Struthio camelus: one gene and its partner. The protein of the gene in region 1 interacts with the protein of each later gene in a biochemical or structural test. Links are inferred from orthologs where the notes say so. Each region holds a gene or a part of one and is shown on either strand. Other genes may lie near its edges.

The links.
Region 2: the proteins of DNM2 (region 1) and SNX9 form a complex in vitro, tested with the Homo sapiens proteins (2 studies listed by BioGRID and IntAct, with this or other methods). The link is inferred for Struthio camelus from reciprocal best matches to the Homo sapiens genes DNM2 and SNX9.

Annotation. Positions count from the first base shown.
Region 1 is NC_090972.1:4,733,712-4,745,571, reverse strand, and holds the start of DNM2 (dynamin-2), read left to right. Parts: upstream 1-6,848; 5' UTR 6,849-6,992; coding exon 6,993-7,153; intron 7,154-11,860. Other genes in the region: QTRT1 (queuine tRNA-ribosyltransferase catalytic subunit 1), read right to left, coding at 553-774; uncharacterized protein, read left to right, coding at 3,404-3,630, 4,952-5,112, 5,513-5,651, 5,855-6,059. UniProt on the Homo sapiens protein: Catalyzes the hydrolysis of GTP and utilizes this energy to mediate vesicle scission at plasma membrane during endocytosis and filament remodeling at many actin structures during organization of the actin cytoskeleton.
Region 2 is NC_090944.1:77,911,654-77,923,568, reverse strand, and holds the start of SNX9 (sorting nexin-9), read left to right. Parts: upstream 1-6,347; 5' UTR 6,348-6,521; coding exon 6,522-6,533; intron 6,534-11,915. UniProt on the Homo sapiens protein: Involved in endocytosis and intracellular vesicle trafficking, both during interphase and at the end of mitosis. Required for efficient progress through mitosis and cytokinesis. Required for normal formation of the cleavage furrow at the end of mitosis.

The DNA of each region.
Region 1 (11,860 bases):
GGGCGGGGCTCCCGGGGCTGTGTGGGCGGGGCTCCCGGGGCTGTGGGGGTGGGGCAGGCTGTGGGCGGGGCTCCCGGGGCTGTGGGGGTGGGACAGGCTGTGGGCGGGGCTCCAGGGCTGTGTGGGCGGGGCTCCCGGGGCTGTGGGGGTGGGGCAGGCTGTGGGCGGGGCTCCAGGGCTGTGTGGGCGGAGCTCTGGGGCTGTGGGGGTGGGGGCTGGGGCGGGGGCTCCCCAGGGCAAGGGGCTGTGTGGGGCGGGCCAGGGCTGTGGGTGGGGTCATGAGCTGTGGGGGTGGGGATGTGGGCGGGGCTTAGGGGCTGCGTGCGTGGGGCCAGGTCCAGGGCTGTGGGCGGGGCTCCGGCGCTGTGGGGCGGGGCTTAGGGGCTCTGTGGGCGGGGCTCCGGGGCTGCGTGGGCCGGGCCAGGGCTGTGGGCGGGGCTTCGGAGCCGCGTGGGTGGGGCCGGGTTCAGCGCTGTGGGCGGGGTTACGGGGCTGTGTGGGCGGGGCTGGGGGTGTGGGCGGGGCTCCGGGCCGAGGGGGCGGGGCGCTCACCGGCCGCGTGCCCAGGTGGTAGGTGTTGCCGAGGCAGACGCGGCAGCCCAGCGCCGCCAGCTGCGCCGCCGTCAGGCCCTTGGCGGTGCCGCGCGTGGCCACGGGCATGAAGACGGGGCAGGGCACGGCGCCGTGCGGCAGCCGCAGCTCCCCGGCCCGCGCCCGGCTCCGCCCGCACTCGGCCGCCACCCGCAGCAGCGGCCCCGCTCCCGCCGCCGCCATCTTCGGCCGCGCCACGTGACCCCCGCTTCCGGCCGCCCCGCCGGAAGCGGCCGTCGCCAGGGGCAACGCGGCCGCCATGTTGAGGCTTCAGCCTCGGCCCTAGGCCTTCATGGCCGGGGGGAGGGGGGAGCGATGTGCTTTCTCATCGCCCTGCTTTGTTCTCCTACATCCCTTGTGGAGAGCTCCCTCCTCTTCCCCCTGCTATAATCTCCCCTATCCCGTGAGGGGACCCCCCCCCGTGTCACTGAGGGAGAGTCCCCTCCTCATCCCCCTGCCACGATCCCCCATATCCCCTGAGGGGACCCCCCCCGTGTCACCCAGGGAGAGCCTCCTCCTCACCCCCCTGCCACGATCCCCCATATCCCCCAGGGGAGAGCCCCCTCCTCACCCCCCTGCCACGATCCCCCATATCCCCCAGGGGAGAGCCCCCTCCTCACCCCCCTGCCACGATCCCCCATATCCCCCAGGGGAGAGCCCCTTCCTCACCCCCCTGCCACGATCCCCCATATCCCCCATGGAGAGCCCCCTCCTCACCCCCCTGCCACGATCCCCCATATCCCCCAGGGGAGAGCCCCCTCCTCACCCCCCTGCCACGATCCCCCATATCCCCCAGGGGAGAGCCCCTTCCTCACCCCCCTGCCACGATCCCCCATATCCCCCATGGAGAGCCCCCTCCTCACCCCCCTGCCACGATCCCCCATATCCCCCAGGGGAGAGCCCCCTCCTCACCCCCCTGCCACGATCCCCCATATCCCCCAGGGGAGAGCCCCCTCCTCACCCCCCTGCCACGATCCCCCATATCCTGCGAGGGGACACCCCGTGGCCCCCATGGAGATCCCTGTCCTCTGCTCCCCTGCCCAGCCCCATATCCCCCATGGAGATCCCCTTCCTCACCCCCCTGCCCAGCCCCATATCCCCCGGGAGACCCCCTCCTCTGCCCCCCCACTCCCAGCCTCTCCACATCCCCGTGGGTAACCTTCCCTCCTCCCCCGGTTTTGCCTCCGCGCCCCCCACCCCAGAAGCGCTGGGACAACCCCCATCCCGGCACCCGCGTGGCAGCGGCAACCCCGGAGCGGGGCGTCCCCGGCAGAGCCGGTCCCCGCGTGTTTGGGGTCTCCCCGGCTGCAGAGACCCGCCTGCCCCCCTCGCCGCCCGCGGCCCAGACCGGCTTTCGCTGCGGCCCTGGCCTCGGCCGCAGCTCCCCAGGGCCTGACCGAGGCGCTCGCCCTTGGCCGTCCCCCATCGCTGGTGCCAGCGAGAGCGGGGCGGCCTCGCGGGGGGAAGCCGGTGCCTTGCCCGGCCTCAGTTTCCCCTCATGCAATGTAAGAGGAGCTCTGCCCTTCCTCCGAGCGCACCCAGGATTTCTCACCATAACCTTGAAATAACCTTGCCTGGAGGGCTACCTAGCCCCAAACACTCGGAGCAGGTACTAGCTTAGAGAGTTATGCATCAGCAGCCAGGCACTTGAGCCGGGTCCTGAAGGGGGGGGATATTAAGGCCAGGTAAGGGCCAGGTGCCCCCCATCAGGTCGTCTGAGGGTAGCGTGGGTATAAAAGGAGGATTAGCTGCTGGGGAACAGCTATGAGGGAGCATGTGGGGAGCCTGAGCTGTGGGAATGGTCCCTGTTTTGGTATAAATCACTGTTCCTGTTTCTTTAGATTGGCAGAACATCATTTCCCCCCTAAATAGCTTTTAGTGTGAAAGAGGAGCGCGTCCTGGATTGGTGCGTGGGACCCGGTCGGTCTGAAGTAAGTAACGTCCCTTGGGAAGGGTACTGGTTCAGCAAGGGGCTGGGGCGCCAGCTCCCAAAACTGCCGTAGTTTATTTAAGGGGAGCCTGGTGGAAAGCTTGTCGAGGCTGGGCTGTCGCAGGGGGCTCTGCCTACCCATGTCAGACCTCCTTTGGAGGTGCGGGACCTCCATTAAACACCTGGTGGTAAGGGGGAATGGGGGCTTTCTCCCTAAAGCAAGGAGGTATGTGCCTGAAAACGCAGAGAGGTGACATCCAAGGGGCTCAGAGGAAGCTTTTCCCTTGTGCTCCAACTTCAACAGCTGTTAGTCTTGCTTGTGGGGTGGTCCTATATAGCAGCAGTATCCTGTTACAAATAAGAGTTTTGCATTTAAAATGCTAAATGGAAAAAGCCTTCAGAAATGACCCAAAAAACCTTCCTCCTCCCTAGTTAGCAGGGTGCCGGTGGGGACTCTGGCCGGGGCCAGGCGCAGACCCGGCGCGCACCGTGCCGAGGCGTCCCGCACCTTTCCCGGCGGTGCCGGGTGAGCCCCGGCCGAGAGCCGCCCGGCTGATTCCCGCGCGTCTCCGCGAAAGCGGCCCCGTGCCTGCGCTCTGCGGCCCAATTCGGCCTCAGCTGCGTGGATGCGCCGTGCCCAGCGCGGCTGCGCCCGAGCCCGCTTCTGCGGGGCGCTCCGGCTGGGGCGGGCCGAGGGATGCTGCAGCCGCGGACGGAGAGCCCGGCCCTGCTGCGGGCACGCTGCCGGCAGCCCTGCCCTGGAGCCCCTCTTTGCCCGGGGTGGGCTGGCGGGGGCACGGATGTCCTGCCGATGCACGTGTCGGAGCAGCCGGCAGCTCATCCCGGCCCTCCTGGGGCGGGGGGGAACCGCACAACTGTGCGATGAGCTTGTTTCCAGCGTTAACTAGCTGGATGAAGGATGAGCGCTTAGAGAAATTGAGCCGTGCGACAGCCTGGCTTGGATCGAGCTCCAGCTTTCCCTCCTCTGGGCTCTTGCAGAACAAGTCTCTCCCAGAGCTGTGTCACCTCTGCGAGCAGAGCCTGAAGCGGTCTGGCCTGCTCGCAGCTGATCCGTGTGCCCCTCCATCTGCTCTTCCTCCAGAAATAAGGCAAGGGTTTTCTCAGAAATCTGCCGCTGGAAATCTGGTAACAGGCTTGCTTAATGCAGCAAGGGATTTAATTAGTTTTTCCCAGAGAGAAGGAGAGGAAGGGGAAATAGTGAGCAGCTGCTGGCATCTCCGTCTGCAGCCTCCCGTGCTGCCCCTCCCTCCTCATCGCTGGGGACTGAAAGCTGTGCTTGTGGCTTGGTGCATCTGCAGAAAGCGGTGCCAACAAATCCAACCTGTCTCCTCTGCTTCGTTGCCTCTTCTTTCCTCTCCTCCTCTAGGAACAGAGTGTTCCTTGCTCCGGTGGGGCAGCTCTCTTGTGTCCAAGCGAAATGGCTGAGCCCAGATTATGGTAACGCGAGCGGGTTCGAATAACCCGCTTCCGTGGAGCGCAAACGGGCTCCCTCAGGTGAGCGGGGAAACGGATCTCCCCTGCCTCCGGCCCGCCGCAGCCATCCGGCTCCACGCGCGTGGCCGGAGAGGGGCCCTGCCCCGCGGGAGGGAGCAGGGCAGCGCCGGCCAGCTCGCCGGGCACCCTCGGGTCTGACCTTGGCTAGCGAGCGACGGGCAGCCTGCCAGAGCCCCCGGGACGCGCGGGTGGCGGCTCTGCCGGGGGCGAAACCGGACCGAGGATTGATCCCGCCGCTGCTGTAAATGGCTGGGACGGGGGGCTGCTGCCTGGAGGAGGCCGCAGCTCCCCTGGCTGGATGGGGGCTCTGGGGGCCGTAAACGACACGGCGTTGAGTCCGAACGGCTCTTATTTCTCCGCAGAGGGATGATGGTGCAGTTTCAGCGAGGCTGCCTGATCTCTCCAGCGAGAGGAGAGCCTTGTGGGTGCAGCCGGGCTGGCACCAGGGCATATGGTGCCGTTCGCAGCCCTGGGACAAAGGCCTCGTGGTTTGGGGATGAGTCCAGCTTGCAGCCTGTGGTGTACGAAATGGAGCTGGAGGAGGAATGGTTCTCTGGGCATCCCTGTTTCCCCCCCCCCCCCCCCCCAATTCCTTATGGCTAGGATATATAGCCAAGATGTGTCCAAAATTTGCAGCATCCCTCCCTGGCCCACCTGACATGGTGGAGAGCCAGCATCTGCAACGGGTGCAGCCTTGCTGGCTTCGGAAGAGCGCCCACGGCCTGGGATGCGGCTGCGACCGGGCTGTAGAGCTGGGTAGCCAGGATGGCAGCCCCTCACCCCCAGGAATGGGGCTGCATCCCTGTCCGACGCCGCGCAGACCTCCTCGCGGGCTGGCTGGGATGGCTCCGGCCGAGCCCAGCGCTGAAGTGACCAGCAACGTGACAGACCCTGTCTTGTCCTTCCCTTCCGCAGCTGGAAGATGAACACGGTGCACGACGCGCGGACCGAGGCGCGGGAGCGGCCGAACCGGCGGACGGTGGACCAGCTGAGCCCGGAGCTCCGCGTGGAGAAGTACATCCTGCTGAGCATGGATGGGAAGCTGCTGGGACCGGAGCTGAGCCGGATCCGGAGCGGTAGGGCCGCGAGGTGCTTGGAGGAGGGAGGATTGCCCTTAGAAAGAGGGATACACCCTGCTAGTGTCCAGCTGGTTCTCACTGAATCCCTGCTGGTCTGTGCTGGGGAAGGTAACAGGGGCAGATAGCCCTCCCAATCCAGCCTGGAGGAGGTGCCGGCCCGCTGGACTCAGCTTTCTCAGGGTGTTCTGGTCCCACCTGGATTTCGGAGGCCTCTATTGCTGGTCCTGGCATCCTGAAATCCAGGTGCTGGGGCTCAGCTGCTGCCCTGGGGATGCCCAAAGGCATTTGCAGTGTGGAAAGGGGTTTTTCTGCTCCCCAAGTCTGACATGAGCATCAAGACGCACAGCAAGACGCAGTGGGGTGGAGGCTCACGGTGCCTTTGCCCTCCCTGCCGCAGAGATGGCCCTGCCCCTGGAGCGCCTGGATGCTGACCTGCCCCAGGACCTGCCCGCGGGCTACCTCTGGCGCCAGCGCCGCTCGCTGCCCACCTTCCCCCTCGCCCCGGGGAGCGGCCCCCAGAGCCCCGCGGACCTCAGGTACATGGCGCCAGGACGGAGAGCGCCGGTGCTCCCCGCCGGCTCGTGCCGGGGGCCACCTCGGCCAACTGCGCCGCCGTCTGCCGCGCTGCCTCCTGCGAGGGCTTGGAGCCTCCTGGCACTGGGACTCGTCGTAACCTATGCCCGATGCCCCGTTCGCGGTGGGGCAGGCGAGGGGTGCTCAGCCCATCCTTCTTTTCCAGGAGAAGCTCGGACCTGCTCTGCGCCGGCCAGTTCCCCGCAGGGCTCAGCGACCTGGTGACGGGCATGCAGGCCCCTGCCTCGCCGTGCCCCCGGAGCCGTGGCAGCCCGCGGGCCCGTCCCCGCTCCTCCCTGGCAGCGCAGGCCTCCCGCGGACCTCCCGCCACGGCGGAGGATGCTGCGGGGAAGGAAGGTGGCAGGGAGTGAGGGGCGTCCGAGCCCTCGGGCCAGCTGTCCCCAGCGGGTGCTGGTAAGGAGGTGCCGTGGCGGGGCTGTGATGGGAGGATGGTGCAAAATAAAGACTCTGAATGTGACCCCAGGCTGGTGTGTTGGTGCCAGAGAGGACTCTGAGCGTGGCCCGAGGTGGCTGCGCTGGGGGGTGACGGTCCCCAGGGGAGGGGGGTTCCCCTGGCCCCAGTGCAGCCTCCGGCCCTCGCCTCGGAGACATGCGGTAGCAAGACATGGGCTTCTACACGGGGACGTACGGTAGGGGATCTCCAAACGTCATTGGGCTGTGCCCGGGAAGGGAGAAAGCGGCAGAGCATCAATGGGGCTCGTGATTGACGGCTGGCTGGCGAATCATGAGCGGCTTTTCGTCAGGGAGTACCCGCCCTGGGTTGGTCAGTCTGGTAGACTGGCAGAGGAGCTGTCCAATGACAAGGGCGTATGGGAGGGGTGAACAAGCTAGTTTCCTTCGGGAAGCGATTCGCTAGCTTCCCGGAGTGGCAGTCCTCTCTACCAATAGAATGGCAGGAACAAAGTCTTGGGGCGGGAGCTGCCGCTGTGCCGTCTCAGCTGACAGGCCAGCTCCACCTCCCATTGGCTGGTAGGAACGAGCGACGCGTTGGGAAACCAATGAAAAGGGAGAGGTGGGGCGTGGCGACCCGCTCCCGCCTTCCCTCTTGAGTGACAGCGAAGAGCTCCGCTCCGCTCGGCCGGCTGCTCTGACTGACGGCTCAGGCTCCCAATGGCGGCGCCGGCTGAGGGGCGCGGGGCGGGCCCGGCTGAGCGGCGCCTCCGGGGGTGTCGCCAGTGCCGGATGAGGAGACTCGGAGGGGAAGTTTGGTCGCCGCCGCCGCCGCGGACTGTGTAAGGAGGAGCCGCCGCCGCCGCCGGGAGAGCGGGGCCCTCCGCGCCGCCATGGGGAACCGGGGCATGGAGGAGCTGATCCCGCTGGTGAACAAGCTGCAGGACGCGTTCAGCTCCATCGGGCAGAGCTGCCACCTCGACCTGCCGCAGATCGCCGTGGTGGGCGGGCAGAGCGCGGGCAAGAGCTCCGTGCTCGAGAACTTCGTGGGCCGGTGAGTCCCGCCGCGCCGCGCCGGGGAGGGGCGGGCGCCGCGTACGCAAACTGCGTAGCCGCCCGCCCGCCCGCCGCCGCCGCGCGGCGCAGCTGGCGTAAGCGCGCTTGGTGAATCCCGCCTGCGTAAGGCGGCTCGAGGCGGGCGGGGGCGCGAGCGCCGCCGTAGCAGCCCCCCCTCCCCCCCCCGCCCCGTGCCCGGCCACCGCTACGCAAACTGCGGATCATCCCGGCAGCCCGGCCCTGTGCTACGCACTTGGCGTAAGGCGCGGCCCAGGGGAGCGGGTCACAGGCCGGCCCTTACGCCAGCGGCGCAGGCGGGGGCTCGGGCCGTGGCGGGCGCGCGCGGCGCTGGCGCAGGGGAGCTCTGTGAATAGCGGGGGGCTCCGCCAGTCCCGGGCCTCTGTCGCCGTCGCCTGCCCGGTGCGGCCCGGCCCGGGCCCGGGAGCAGAGCGGAGCGGGGTCCCCGGGCTGGGGATGCGCGGTAACACCGGGGGGAGGTGCAGGGGTGTGGAGGGGCTGCGCTGGGCCCCGCCCGGGGACCAGGACCCCCCCAAAACACACACAACAGGCCCTACCTGGACCCCCCCCCCACTAGGCCCAGGACTCCCCACTAGGCCCTGCCTGGTGCCCCCCCCACAGGGCCCTGCCTAGGCCCCCGGGACCCTCACCAGCCCCTGCTGACTCAGTAGCCGTGCGTCCCCCCCCCCCCCCCCCCAACCCCGTCCGCCTCCCTGAGGCCTGGGGCAGCCCGTCCCCGGAGCTCAGCAGCGCGGGATGCCGCGAGCGCGGCCGCCGCAGCCTTCCCGCCGAGCGGTGCCAGGGCCTCGCCGGCTCGTCCTGACGGCCGTCAGCATCCTTGAGTTCCTGCGCGGGTGCCCGGAAGGCGCTCCAGAAACGCTGGGCTGACCTGCGGAGTGCAAATGTGTAAAGCGGAGACAGGGGAAGCCCAGGCTTGATCAGAAACAACCGGCACGGCATCCCGTTGCGATGCTTGACAAGAGACCTGACAGCGTTAGAGCATGGTCTTGCTCCGGTTTATAATTTTCAACATGACTGTGTTAACTTACAAAGGTTAATGCTGAGTTGCATCCTAAAGACGCTTCTGTTTCCACTCTGATAGCCTTAGGCCTGGAGTCATCGCTGCACCTGGGTTTGGGCGGCTTTCGTGTTTGGTGCCGTTCAGCTGTGTGCCCTTGTGATAGGGCTGAGCTCTCTGCCAGGCCTCTCCCAGGAGCGGAGGGGTGTCAGGACCCTGCTGTAGAGCCGGTCGGAATTGGCAGGATAAGGGATTGACACGCGGCCTGGGATGCGCTAGGGTGGGGAGGAGAGCGTGGCTGTCGAGATAACGTGGGGGAGCCGAACGCTCCTGATTTTATATTGCGCTAAGGCTGTGGGGTTTAAAAATCTTTCCGTGTGCTTCATATGACCCTGCTGACTCTTTCAAAATCCGTGGTAGCTGCTAACAACTTCCGCTTCTGAATCGAAGCGCTGAGAGCGGAGGGTAGAAGTCAGTCCTTCGGCCTTCTCCACCTTTTGTCTCTGCCGTTCTGGGGATGGCGGCGCCGGTCCTGCAATTCATAGCGCAGCGCAGGGCTGAGAGCTGGCGGCACTCAATGCTGCTCCGTTCCTGCGTGCACTTGTTCCACGCTCGGGGTAAAGGATGTTGCTTGACCCCTTCTGCTTTGTTCCTGTGCTCCGCTTTGGCTTGATCTAGGCTTGCAAGCTCGCTGTAGCGCGGGCTGCTTCTCGCCGTGCCTAAAAAATTCATTGCACAACGGGGCTCCAGTCGAGGCTGGGGCGGATGCCGTAATAGCAACAATAGCAGATTTCCGGTGATGTCATTTCATCCTGACACTGGCCGGCAGGAGCGTGCACGGATCTGCTTCTCCGTTGACAACACAACAGCGACTCGGCCCTGCTCTGCCGTCGGGTCTGACGTAACGGGATACCGTCCTATTTCCACACAGCCGACCAAGTGTCTTTTCCAGCGCTTTAGATTTGTTGGCTTCGTGGTCGCTGTGGCTTCCTTTATCGGTAGAGAAGGGATCTTTTGAAAGGCCTGCGTGAGTTTTCTCCACTGTTGTGCTTTCCGCAGTTCAAATTTCGGCTTACTTAACATTTTCCTAGAGGTGAGGTCAGGATCCGGAGCCTGCTCTGTGATGCATCACCTGACACAATTTGCCTTTTCTTTTATACTCACAGGGGTTTAATTCATAGCATGGATTTGCAGCCTGCAAAGCAATTGAGGATGCCTTTTGAGCCCGTTGTTGTTCGTGTGGGAGGGAGAGGAGGAGTCAGCTGGACCAGGGCAGGTCTAACTTTGCCAGACTAAACTTGCATCTGGGCCGATGAGTTCTGCCAAGTCTCTTTGCAGTTGGGGTTGAAACGGTCAAGTTGTTACCCCTCATAAATAGCTGCCAGTGGAAGTTTTGGCAGCCTCTAATTATGGTGCTGCTGGAAAACCAGCCTAGTAATTAAAAACCTTTGTTTCAGAGCATTTAAGTCTTTGTCAGAAGGCTTTCACTAAGGGGTTAACCGCACTCCACAGACTCCCTTTTCAAAAAGGGTCTGAACGGGAAGGCTTTCCGTGGGACTTGATCTGTGTGATTTTCTCTGTAACCTGGAATATTTCACTTATGTCTCACGGCACTAACTTTGTTCTGCCTTGATGCACTTGGGTTAATAATCAGGTAACTACGTATGCAGTAAATTCTGCCTTTGCTTGGTGTCCCTGCGTTTTCAGCAGTCTTGAACAATCAGCTCGGTCGTCGTCATTGTGTGGTGATAATACCCGCGTGTTAGCATCTGCTTCTCTCGCTCTTTTCTAGCACTGTTCTCTATACGCACCTACTGAAGTGTTTGGGAATAAAATAACGAGGAATACAGATTATAGTTACACACTCTATTATAACAGCTGTGCGCAAAAATTCAGCACGAAGAAGGATTAATAGGCCTGAATTGGCAAACCTGTTGGTAAGATTGCAAATGGTTGAGAGCAGGGACCATCTGCTTATCTGCGCGCAGCACTTGACCCCGTTGGGGTGCCGGCCACGCGCGGTCCCGCATCTCACCCTCGCAGCTGGGTGACGGCTCGACAGCTTTTACTCCGCGCCTGATGGGGGAACGCATCGAGTGTTTCTCATGGATGTACGGCTGGATGTTGACTGGTTTCGTTTGCTGGGCTAGTCTTGTCCTTGAGGCTATTGCAACTGTCAAAATAAACCAGCCGTGCTGCATGAAACTTGCTCTAGATAGCAAGCTAAATACAGCAGGCTTCCGCACGCTGCAAACAGGGCGCTTTGACCGCTTCGGGACAAGCTTCGTTTTATCCACGAGAGGTTTTTTCATGAAGCCGAAGGGGCCGCTTTTAAATGTATGTCTGTATAAATGCATAAACACAGACTGACGTGCCCTTAGCGTTAGGAAGGGAGCAGTACTTAACCAAGGCGGTCTCTGAAACTAATTGTTGCTCTTTGACTAGTGCGTGGTATTTTTAGTACACAAAATGTGATAGAAACGGGAAAACTTCCTGTAAACAGCCTGTAAGGTGTAACCCTCCGTTGGGAAGTTTACAGTAGCAGTGCGATGCAGGTGGTAGAGAAGACCTGTTGGTGATGTGCTCAGTGTCCATGTTTCTCCAAGTTGAAGATGAATAAACAACCCAGAAGAAACAGCTGGATTTTTGAGCTTTTTTGATCTTTCTACCTGCTCTGATTTCCTCCTACCGGAAGTCCCGCTGTGGTGGCTGTCACTGCACTTGAGCTCAAGCTTTGCAAGGGGATGCGAGGAGGCCTTCCACTTCAGTTAATGGTGTTTCCTTCTGAGGAAGCTTCCTGTGAACTTCTGAAAGATTCCTTCCTTTGTGGGGCTGGGGAGGCTGCTGACAGCTGGGTAGAAACAGGAGGTGGATTTTTTTTTTTTGCTTTTTTTTTTTTTTTTGCTGATAACCACCCTTTTGCACTAGTTTAATCTTTATTCTCGGCTTCTTGTTTCTGACCTGGTAAGAAGTCGGAAGGGCTGCTAGATGCCAACATAGGAAGCCGACTCAAGCAGCACTTCACAGCCAGCATCCTGTCTCCAGAAGCAAGCCGTGCCAGATTCGCCGGTGACGTATCTGAGGCCTGCTGCATCTCGTAGCCAAGCCTCGGTTAGCAGGAGGGTAGGTCTGGGGTGGTGTTAAGGAGCAGGCGTTTGGCTGAGCAGTAACGTGGAAGAGGGGATTTCGGCTCTGTTCCGTGTGACCCCCTCACATCCCGGCCTTAGTCTTGTCGTAGGGAGCCCTGGGGAGATCCGCTGCTCCCTCTTCAGAAAAGTAATTTTAGCTGATTGAGTTAAGGGTGGTGATTGGTGAATGCAGCTGAGTGTTGACACTGGATAAGGAGTCAATGGGAGGTTTACATCCTTTCTCCAGAAGGCCCAGGTCAGGTATTTTTCAACTGTTTGAAGAAAGCTTCAGTTGAAATTAACGGACCTTAGTACTGGGACGTTATGACCACGCATACGGTGGTCCCTTCCGGGGCCTAAGTGTACGTGAGAAGGGTTACGAGCCCTGTTCAGACAAGGAAGGGACTTGCTCTGGAGCATACAAAAAGCCTGTGGAGGAGCCAGGAACTGAGTTCAGCTGCCTAAAGTCCACTAAATCTTCTCTGAATTGGATGCTGGACTGAAACGTGTTCGGGGGGGAAGGAATCTGTCTTGCCTTTAC
Region 2 (11,915 bases), on another chromosome or scaffold:
GGAAAAGCTGGAAATAAGGCCCAGGCAGCCAGCACTCCTCACGGACAGAGTCAGTAGTGGTAAGGCTCAGTAGTTCTGATGGTATGTCGCTTTTGCTAAAGCTAGCAAAGAGCAACATGGAAACAGTGCACTTAGTGGCAGGAAATCGAAATACTCTTTAATATTCTTTTTACGAAACTATATTCATTTTTCAGAAAAGCTAAGTTTAAAACCTATTGACATCACAGTCATTGTATCAAAATGTAAATGAATATAATGTGTTACTGTAAAATCCAGATGCGAAACATCTAAAGTGTATGACACATATGCATGCACAAGTATCCTAGGTCAGATACAAGCACATATAATAAACTAACCATCAGTGTACAGGCCATGAAAGTCCTTTGGGGTAGTCAGGCCAAAAAGGACTGCAAAAAGGGAGGACAGTAAGAATAACATTAGTGTCCGGTGTTTCAGGAAGTCTATTTAGTTCCTTGCAGAAGAAGCCATAATTTTAATATCATTGCTTTCAAAGCTTGTGCTGGTAAGAAAATAATACTTATTACTGATTTTTCTGCTATTAAGGCAGAAAAAGAATAAAATATAGAAGTGGTCAAAACATTTGTTATGCTTACAGGGACAAAGGGAGAAAAGAAGACATTATGCAACACACTATTAAAATTAGCTGAAGAAATAATAGCTTATCTTGAGGAAGCAAACTCTTTGCTGCTGTAGTTGTGGAGCTCACTGATGAGGATCTGCACTAGGTGTTTAAGCCCACATCGCCTTTTGGAAGTGTGACCAAATTTGCACCAAAACATGAGCTCTGCAATCAGCTCCACAAAAAAGGGAAAAAATACTCTTCCAAACTGGCTACGTCCAAAAGCATACTGCAACAATGTTTTGTCTCTGGTACACCCACACTTTTTTTCTGTGTAGCTTGTTCACATGTTTTCAGTGGTCAGCAGGTTTTTTTTTTTCTGTTTTTAAAGAGAAAATTAAGTCCGGGAGTCCAGCATGACTTAAAACTGTTGGCTTCACAACAATGTGTAAAAAACCATCACCAACAAAGAAAAAAAAAACCCAAACTCCTATCCTCATAGCACTTTTTTCCCCAGCAAAAGAAAATAAGAACATCATTTTCACACACGATAGAAAAATAATATTAGCTGTGTATTTATCAAAAGCGTAACCCTGTCAGATCGGAACTTACTTGGGGAAATTAGCATACAGTATGCCAGAGTTCAGATTAAGTAATAATGGCATTTGATCATGAGCTCTAAGGACACAAAGCGCTTCAGGGAAAAGCAAACACATTGTAAGCACAGTTTTTTCTCATAATTGCTTATTCAGAGACAAATATCTGGGAATGAAAAACTGAGAGCTATTTGGCTGCAATTCGGGGTGCAATTTTTTTCTAGAGCAGTTTTCATGGACGAGGGAAGTCTGGACTTAACACCCTCTGGTATCTCAAGACTGGCTGGCTTTCCAGTTTGATAGTGATCTCACATGTCCTATGACACTAGGTACAGAGTCAGATTTGAGAGTGTGTCTGTCATCTCTTGAGCATGATTTTACACTGCCATATAAAGTTCTGCCTAAATGAGAGGCTTTAGTACTTTGATGCAAATACCAAATGATTCAAAGTCTTTTGGGGCAAAAGACTCCCAATGTATAATAAAGACAAAGATTCACATTTTTCCTTGGAACGTGTTTCAGTAAATATATTTTTCATGAAGAATTTGCAAGTGATGCCCTATTATACACAGAGATGTGCAAACATGCTTCATCAGCTGCTCCACCGCTGCTCTGTGCAAACAACATTAGGTTTCATGCATGTGATAGCACCTACAGTTTTCTGTCCAATTTGTGGGGTGAGAGGGGAGGAAGTAATATTTGTATACTGCTCTTTGCAAACTTCTCAGAAGCACCAAAGAAATAGCGTTAACCCAGCTCCAAAATAGACTTGCCTGGTTAGTGGCAGGGAAATCAGCCACGACAGTAGAAGAACCTCTGAGGGGACAGGTAGATGAAACCGTACATACATGCGCGTTTTGCGTTTTGCAAATGAGGAACACATTACTGTTATGTGTTGATTTATTAAGTTAAACAATTTGTTTAAAATGCTTTGAAAATCTGAGATCTCTGCTCTTTTTTAAAACAAGAGGTGTATCATGCAGTTAAGGCAACCACGACGATCAAAAACTGGCGTAAAAAAAGCTTAAACTATTTTTGTAATTACTCCCTAGGCACTGTTAGCCTTTGCTGATCAATTAGCAGTGTTGAACTACACAGCTGAATTTACTTTTGTTATTATGTTTTTTCTATTCTTGAGGTAAAAACATGCAATGTGGAACTGATGTTATTGCAGAACTTTTAGCACATATCCCACGTCACATCAATAGCCTTCAACCCTTTCAATCAGAAAAAAAAAACCCACAAGAAGCCCCCTGTTTTTCATTTCATAAAATACCTTTGAAAATAAAGAACTAGGACAATACACTCTCAGCGCGTCTCCTGAAAAGACTTTAGGATTACACGTGTTTGCCGGACCACTCCATTTGCGAAGTTGTTGCCACTTATTTCACTGAACATAATGAAATCGTCCCAGATGGTCCCTCTGTGGCCGCGGTAAATTCCTCAGTGTCACTGGTTGTTTTTGAGGTCACCCCTCTGCACCAGGCTGGCAATGCTGAGGGCAGAGCCTGCTAGCAGGGAGCACTCAAGGGCACACCACCCCACCACGCGCCCAAGGACAGTAGCTTAGGAGCCTGCAACCTCCTTGCAGAAAAGTTCTTTTGTAGGTGTTTTTCAGCTTGGAGGTTATCTGAATATCCTCACTTTTTTTCTTTATCGTTCCCTACAAAGCCTGGGTAACTCAGCACCTGTAGGAACACTGACTTTCACTGGTTACAGGCAGGCCTTGCCCAGCAGAGAACAGTATTTGGGGAATGTTCTCCAAATCCTTTCCCAGAGTCCAGCTTCAACTAAAAAATTTGCAGAGTGCTGTTGACAGGAGCTTTTCATGTGATTAGGCAGCCCTTTCTCTGGAACAGATCACTTCTCACTGAATTCTGCTGAGGCAAGTGCTCCTGGAAATTACTGTAGACAAGTTAACCGAAAAAATATGTATCTAGCAGAAACCTATAAAGAGAATACTAAAAAAAATGTAACTGATGCACCGAGTAAGGGCTTTTCTTCTCTTGTTGATGAGGTTTTTCTAGGATGGAGATTTTTGACTATTAAAGCATCCATTGGAGTTTTAGTAAAAAGTGAATAATGAGGCAACTGTGTTTGAGAGCTGGTAAGCCACGTACACAGCACGCTACTTCCAGCGTACCAAAATACTTAAGAACGTGAACAATCCGGCTGAAGTCAGTGAGATTTCTTACATGTTTAGTGCTAAAAAAAATCTACCCTTAATTGGTTGCAGAAAATTAACGAATTCAGAAAATTTTGGAAATTTTAGGTGACATTCATTTGCAATTCATTGGTATTTGGCTCTTAGTGCTAAGCAATAATAAAGCTTGCAGCTAAGAAGAAATATGTTTCTTTGGCATCCAAAGTGATTACTGAGATTCTGAATCTTTGTAGATGCAAGAACTAACAGCAATTAATTGCAAATAGAATTGGCAAGCACCCATCAAAATAATTTTCCCAGAACATTATTTCTCCCTGAAAGAGATGCTAACGTTTCCTTCATCCCCCAAATGTGTCAAGCAAGACTTATTTTTAGGAGTAACTCACAGAGGAGGATTGTAAATGGAAGATTTTAAGCATATAGAGAGGCCCAATAAATCATGACTTTGTTCCTCATGCCTCAGACGGGCACACAGTGCTCTGTTAAAGCGTACTGGTTGGCAGCTGTAGACTTAAGCTTTTCTGGCAGTTGTTCTGACCACAAGTAAAGAATGATACAGACTCAAGCTTATGCAATAAGCCTCGAGTGCATTATAAATCACATATCAAAACAAGGTGAATGCATATAGGGTGCTTCCTATACCTATCAGCAGGGGATCCCTAAAGAAGACAACACCGAGTCCCTCGGTTCCACACACCTCTATCATTTTCATAAGATTCAAAATTCCTTCAACCACAAACTGGTGTTTCTAGGTGCAGAAAGTCACTGCAGCCTGCTGCCTGTGAGAACTGGTTCTTACCCCAGCTCTGCAGCAGGTCTGGCCACCTTACAGGGGCGAGGGCCTGGGAGCGGTCACGAGCACAAGATCCTGAACATCCACATCACTTAATCGTTACCCACCCAGCTAACTTGGCTTTAAACCATTCCAGCTATCTGTCAGCCAGGCAAATTTGCTGTACAGGGAGCTAACCCTAGGCACTGTGGACATGAGGCAGATACCGCTAATTGGCCCCAGCAGCAGAAAATCAGTCCCAGGCTCTTTTTCCTTTCTAAGCAGAGCAGATGCAGCTATGCTTCCTTTACACTGTGGTACGTGTACATGGTACCTTTGTCTAGGATCTCTATCCCTAAAGCCGATATTCTGAAGAAGGCACAAATCCAAGCAGACGTTAGCAAGTTTTGCTTTTTCTCCTAGAACTCCCTCTTTTTTGGCTCTAGCAACGCCGCAGTACGCTATATTTCTTTCCAACTATGGATAAACCCCTATTTCCTGTGGATTTAGAAAGAAACAGGCTCTTTTATACCCAAGCTTTGAAGCCCCTTTTCCCCTTTTCTTCCTGTTGTTCAGTCAGCCTTTTGTAGGGCTCTTCTCCCACGCCATATAGACACAGAGGAAAGACTATCTCCACCTAACCTGCACCAAGGGCAACAAGCATCTTCACTAGGTCACCAGTGTGACCAAGTTCAAAATGTGCAATGTTGGAAAGCTCATTAGGAAGAAAGTAGAAGGACAGGCTCCATTAATATGCAGACAAAGCAGGGGTTTACAGAGTTTTGCTCAGAAAGAGCTACTAAAATGGATGAAATATGAGTCTGGGAGGGACCGCACAGCAAAACAGATCCTTAACAGAATACCTCAGATTAAATGCACTATCATAGAAGGCCATTCGCGGGTCACCTGCAAGTTTCACTTCAGATATTGCTGTTACAGAGAATAAAAAATTGGAACTGTCGCACGTATTTAACTGAATTCTGAAAAAGTTAAAAACTGAAATAATGGGGTTCCAAAACTTCTCGAATTAATCAGTTCAACCGTGTGAAAAGTAGTGGCTCCTAAACCGCCGGATTCATGTTAATTCCTCATCCTCAGTCTCCACAGAAAGTATTTCACTCATCCTACTTAAAACAAAACCTTTTTTCCAACTTAAAAAAAAGTGTGGATCTGTTTTTCGCTTTTGATAAAGTGGCCTCAGTGGGAAAGTACAGCAAGAGCAGGAGAGAGGTTTGTCGTTTCTGTGGACAAGGAAACATGGCTATACAAGAGTTACGCTACGTCTCAACGGCACACCTGCCTTTTAGGGATCTCTTTGGTGGTCTTAACAATTACGCTCTTTCTTTCTTTTTGCAGAAGTTAAACATCCACCGATCCAAATCAAACACCGCGCGGATACATACCCACAAGACAGCGTAGTCGCAGGCGGTGCTGCACGTACCTCCTCTGAGCGCTGCCGCTGGCTTCCCCCCCCCTTAGCCTCCCATCAGGAGGAATAAATCGAGTGGGACCACAGCTATTTCTTGCCACATGTTGGCGGAGCGTCTCATGGGACCCGCACGGATCCTGAGCAGTTTCTTGATGTTATTTTCTACTCTTAATAACCATCAGGCAGCAAGGCCCAGCTGCCGCAGGAGGCCGCGGATGAAGCGCATCTCCGACAGCCGCCGAGGGAGCTTGGCCGAGGAAAAATTATTCTTTATTTGATACACAGTTGTTCTGAAACCGGCGTTCAAAAGCGACCGAGGGACGACGACTTTCTGTTGACCCTCCTCCGCCCAGACAGCGAAAGGCGGGTGGATTTTCAGCGTCTGAAGCGGCATCTGACAGCGGACGCCGGGGCTAACAACGCCCTGAGGCAGCAGGCTGCCGCACAGGCGGGCGTTAAACCGCCACCCCCGCCGCGCCGGGGGGCGGGGGAGCGGGTCGGCCCGCTACTCGAGGCGGGAATTGGAAGGCAAACGCTGACTAGAAAGAGAAAACGCTGCGGGGCCCGCTACCCGCGGGTGCGTCCGTCCCTTCCTCCCTCCCCGCCTGGCTCGGGCCCTGGCGAGGAGGCCGCGGAGGAGCGGCGGCCGGGCGGTGCCAGCGGGAGCCGGGCGCGGCGGGGGCAGGGCGGCAGGGGGCTGCGGGGAGGGGGCACCGCCGCGCCGATACATTAGCCGCCGCCTGCCCAGCAGCCGGCGCTGCCTGCTGAGCCGCCCAACGGCCCCCAGGCGGCGGCGGTGACGGTGGTGGCGGTGACGACGACGACGGGGGGGGACGCTGAGGAGGAGCTGCCTGCGCGGCCCAGCGGGCGGGCGGGCCGGACACAGCGAGCGAGCAACCGCGGCGGGGAGGGGAGGGGAGGGGAGGAGAGAGCGGAGCGGCGGCCGGGCCGGGCCCGGATCGCACCGCACCGGCAGCGCCATGGCCACCAAGGTGAGCAGCCGGCGGCGCCCCCTGCGCCGAGCAGGCCCCGCGGAGGGGGCTCGGCGGGCGGTGACCCCCTGTGGGGGCGGCGGGAGGCACCGTGTGGGCCACGGCCGCGTTTCGGGGCCCGGAGGGAGGGAAGGAGCGGGGGGTGGGGTGGGGGGGCAGTGCCCTCGCCGCGGGGGCTGGCGGAGGTCCCGCTTCCCCGCCCGGGCCTCGGCCGCCGGGGCAGCGCCAACTCCGGCCAAGGGGGAAAAGTTGCCTTCGGCTGCGTTTCCGCCCGCTGCCCCCCGTCCCTCGGCGGGGCGGCGAGGCCGGCGGCGGCCTGGGAAGGGGCGAGGTGCGGGGCCGGCCTGGCCCTGGCCCTGGCGGCCTCGCACTGCGGGGCGGAGGGAGAGATGTGTAACCCGCCCCCCCTGCGGTGTTGTCGCGTACCTGCCCGACAAAATAAGGTTACCGAAGGGGAGGCCGTAAGTGGTGTTTCCGAGCGGCTGATAAAAAACCTGCTCGGTGGTCATCAGGCACAGGGGCGTGCTGTGGGTGGGTGTTTTTTTTTTTTCTTTCCCCCAGTGGGAGTCTCAAGTCTGTAGTTTGCGACTTGTTAATAATAGGGTCCATTAAAAAAAAAATTGCAGGAAGTGAAATTGTTTTGCTCTGTTCTTCAACAGTGTCTGTTGTTAATGTAGCTATCAAAATTAGTACATCCTATCCGAAACTGATCTCTTTCTAAATTAGCAATATTTATTTACTATATTAGTGGATGAAAGTGGTAAAACTGGCTTGCCTCTGCTTTGTGTAGGTGTGAGTTAACATCCACAAACAAATGTCATCTGTAAGTTGTCTAAATATTGCAGAAAGCTTTCTGGTATTTGAAGTAGTGCTTTCAGATTCGCCTGATTCAATAAACTTGGCCTGTAGTTTAAAAAACTTCCTTTAATAAAAACTGTTCTCGGGCACGACATCATTTATTCATACTGTATTTCTCAGTATTTGGGAAATCCGTATCTTAAATATATTGAACCTCATATATATGTAGCAGTCTCAGTAACCATTGAAGCAGATGGTTATTCATGCTCTAGTAACATTTTTTTTAGAAGCACAGAAGAAAGTGGTTTAGGCTTCAAAATCATTTAGACACTTCAAGAAGTATTAGTATAGTGAACTCTGTGTTCCTGTGTGCTCAGGTTTTAGAATATTGTTAACGGACTCAGTGTTAATATTGGCTGTTTCCACAGAGTTGTGGGGTGTGTGTATGAATAACATGTAAACACATGTAGCTATGGCAGGTAGTAAGAAAAGTTCAATTGCATACTATTATGCACATATATAGAAGTAATGCATATTATCTGCTAAGCATTTGGAATATGATACTGTTTATCATCTAATCTTGAGGACGTGCGGGACTGCTTATTCTGTGCCTAATTAATGAAGTCATTTTATTCATACATTTGGAAACTTGCACTTTGATTTTTCTTGAAATAAACTTTTGGAGTCGTGGCCTCAGAATGATGGGTATGTGAGTTCTGACTTGCTAGCAGTACTTTATTGAAATTAGGTGAGGAAGATGCAAGTATTTGGGTTTTTTTTTTATTCTACACTTTGCAAGTTATGGTAATTTACTTTAACTTGAAGGCTGATGTAAGGAAATGATAGTTAGCAAAGACTTTTTTATTTTGATATACTGATAACAGAGCAGAAGCTGACCTTATTTTCTGTAAGCTTGACCCATAAGGTATGTCACTCTCTGCTAATTATCCTATTCTGGATTTTAATTGGTTAAACTTTTTATAATGTCAGCTGTAAAAAAAAAAAAAAAAAAAAAAAAAAAAATTTTTCCTCCCCTCAACAGTGCAAGGGAGTGACTGACAATAAACAGTGTTTAGGAACTCGGCCAACTAACCAGTTACTATTTCACTCGAAAAATAAGATTTATTTTTTTTTAATTGTAAACAAACTTCCCACCTTCTACTTCCTCTCCTTCCAAAATAGTTTAGTTCTATAAGAAATACACAGTATGTTGGAGTTGCACATAGAACATTAACAAGGCTAAACTATGATTAGTCTCTTGGACTGTGAATTTCTCAAACTTCAGTGGCATTTGAACCTACACACCTGGCAGAGATATCTGGCAATCAGGTCTGCCTGTACTGTGCAGGCTATTAGTATTTCTTGAATTAATTCATGTTTTACCTAGAATATATTTCCAGAGGTGAGGAGGGGTTCAATCTAGATTTGCACTGTTTCAGTAATTGAAAATCCAGCCTGTTTCTTCTTTTTTTAATTAAACCATCAACTCTTTTGCTGTTGACACTTGTTTTACTTTGAAACTGAACTTGCCTAGCTTCTGTTTCCAGTTTTATTATCCTCTTTTCTACTAGCTATAAAAACACTTCTGTCCAATTGTTAGAGTTTTGCTGGGGTGAGAGGGAAAAGACTGGCATTTCTTCCATAGCGCGTTTGTAAGCTCTGATCAGTTTGCTTTCTAGCTCCCACTCTGATAAACTGCACCAACTCAACTCCTTGAGTTTTGCAGTGTGAAGACATGGTAACAGTCTTAAGACTGTGATCTCCTGGCCCTTCCCTATACCATTTAAGCTAATGTGATTTTCTATTGCAATAATGCAAAGTTTTTAGAGGATAAGACTGCTATTTCTATCAAAGAAGGCCTTTGCTAATGCTTTCCTAGATATTTGTTTAACTGCAAAGGAAGCAGTCTTCTGAAATGAGGCAGGGATGATTGCAGGGCTAAATCCTGTGAAGGCTGTGGCTCTGTCTGATATGAGCTGCTCCTTGCCACCACTCCTTCTGCCTTGCTCCTAGTCCTGGACTCTCTGAACTTACTGGGAGTTGACTCCAGTGCTTGTCAGGCCTGTCTCCGAGCTACTGTAGCTTGCTAAAATAGCGTGCACAAAAAAGAGAGGGGGAGGGGGAAAAGGAAAACATCCTAGGTGAAAATGGTGAGACAGTTTCCTCCTGTTTTAGAGAGGAAAAGTGGCTGACACTTTGCTCAGAGCCAACACTAAATCTCTGGCAGGGGAGAAGAGCCTTCGTGGTGGAAGGTGGAAATATAAGGGGAAAATGGGAAAAGGAGAATCCAAGCCTTTTGGTGGCAGTTCTTTGGCTGGCTGCTTGTGTATCTTTACTGTAACTTGGCTGTGGCCTTTCTGTTTCCTTAGAGGCTTACTCAAAGTCACATGCATCAAAAATTGAGCCATGTTTTTTAAAAAAAAAAATCATTGGATTGTTTAGGAGATCCCAGCTTCCAGTGTTTTGAGGAGTGGTAACTTTACTGAGTCTTACTTTACAGGTAGGCAATTGCCAATCCCTGTTTAAGGACAGATGCATCAAGCTGGATACTTTATTTTGGATGCTTCCTTCAGACACATTGACTTTAGCACACTGATTCCTTATTTTAAACTGTGCATAAAAAGAAGGCAAAAAGTGCCCAAGTGTAAAAGTATATAATGATGTTTAAAATTTCCAAACACAGATCAGATTCACGTTCTTAATACTTTTTTTTTCCTCCTACTTCTTGATGACTTTAGCCTTTCCTTGCTCTTCTTTCCTTGCATGAACTTGGGACTTCGCAAACTGTAGCAGATTCTTTTGTTTGAGTTTTGTTGAATAGGGAGAGCTAGAAATGTCAGGAAGTGATATGCTGACTTTGAAATAATGTGCTCTCTACCTCAGGCTATTTTTAGAGGCATTTATTATTTAGTAATATAAGCAATTCTTTTTCTGAATAAGCCTGATGTTTTGCACTTTGAAGTCAAAATTTCAGAAGAGATAACAAGCAAAGCCAGAAGGTGAAGTGCATGCTGATGGTCAAGACTGGTCTTCTGGAACCTGTGCTGCTAGTGTACAGTGAAGGTGTTAATTTAAAAGTTGAAGTTGGGATTAGAAACTGATCCTTCAAACTCTGATTTATAGGAGTAGTAGTGCTGAAGTTAGTGACACTACTTTCACAGGTTGAAGATAAGTGTTGATGAATTCCATGAGGTTAGACCCCTGTTGGTAAGATTATTGAGGCTTTTTGTCCCTCTGTAACCTTGGGCACCTGTACCTCAGTGTTATGTTCTGTATTGTTTAATGCCCTGTCTATTTTAAGAACTCACTTGTTTGATTCTGTTTATAGGACTGGGCCCTTTTTTGTGGGAGGAAGTCCTTTGAGGTGAAAGTTCTTAGAATGAATACCGTGTTCTTAAAAGAAGGTCTAGCTTTGCAAGTATTTTGAATACATGGGGATATGTTGTTGTTGTTCAAGGCTCTTTCGTACATCTAATTGCCCTAAAATATCTCTTAAATGTTGTTACATAGTTGAATTTAGCATGATTGTGCATGATTTAGCATGGTTCCTCAACTGTGTTGAGGAAAGATCATGAAAGTTTGGGGGGGGGGGGGGGGCGGAAGAAATAATGGCACTAAAGAGATTTAAAGATTACTTTTTTCAGGTGTGTATCCTTCCTGTCAGCTTGCTTTCTATTCTGTATTGTTCTTCCCAGTGCAAAGCTCTCTGAAAGAAGTCTCACTCTGAAGCGTTCTCAGTTGTGTCATCATGAAACTGTTTGTATGTCTGCCTTAATCAAGCAGACCCAATTCTCACTGTTCTGATTTGCAGCTGGAAAGTGAGGTGTATCCCTCAATATGCTAAATGTTCCAAAATACCAAACTTCATATTACACAAGTCTGTTTTCTGTACTGTCATCACGTTGAAAGTCAAAAGTCTTTTCTAGGAAGTCATACCTTAAGAAAATATTCAGTTAACAGATCTTAATATATTTGTGAGTTGAAACTTTCCCGTGCAGATCACGTCGTAATCCAGTCTGTGCGTTCCACTGTTAGAAAATACAGCAAATCAAGACTTAACCAACCACAATCTTGTCATTCTTTGTGTTTTGATCTATCACATCCTATGTCTGTAAATCCTTTCAATTTAATTGTCTTAGTGGTATGAAAAGTTGCTTATTTTTAACTTAAAACTAAATAAATGTGAAAGTGTTTCTTGGGTTTTTTTTTTTTTTTTAAGTCCTAGGGAAGGTGAAAATGCATAGTAATGCAAATTTAATCAAGTCTCTGACCTAGTGATACAGTGAGATGTCAGGATGAGTTAAACAGCACAAGAACAACTGGCACTGTATTGCTTTATTAAGATACAGATTTTTCTGCTCTCTTGTCTCTGGCTTTATGGCTGTTTGAAGCTTTGTGGTAAATGGGTTCCTTTACATTCCTGCAATTACTGGCACAAGGCTTCTTATTAGAAAACCTGATTCTGTGTAACTAAACTCTGTTAGGAAGCTGGAGAGGTGATTAGAATCTGTATGATGTTATGTTATGCTTGGGTAGTGATTCCTGTGACTCAATTTTTCAAAGTTATTTTAAGCACTTGGGGAT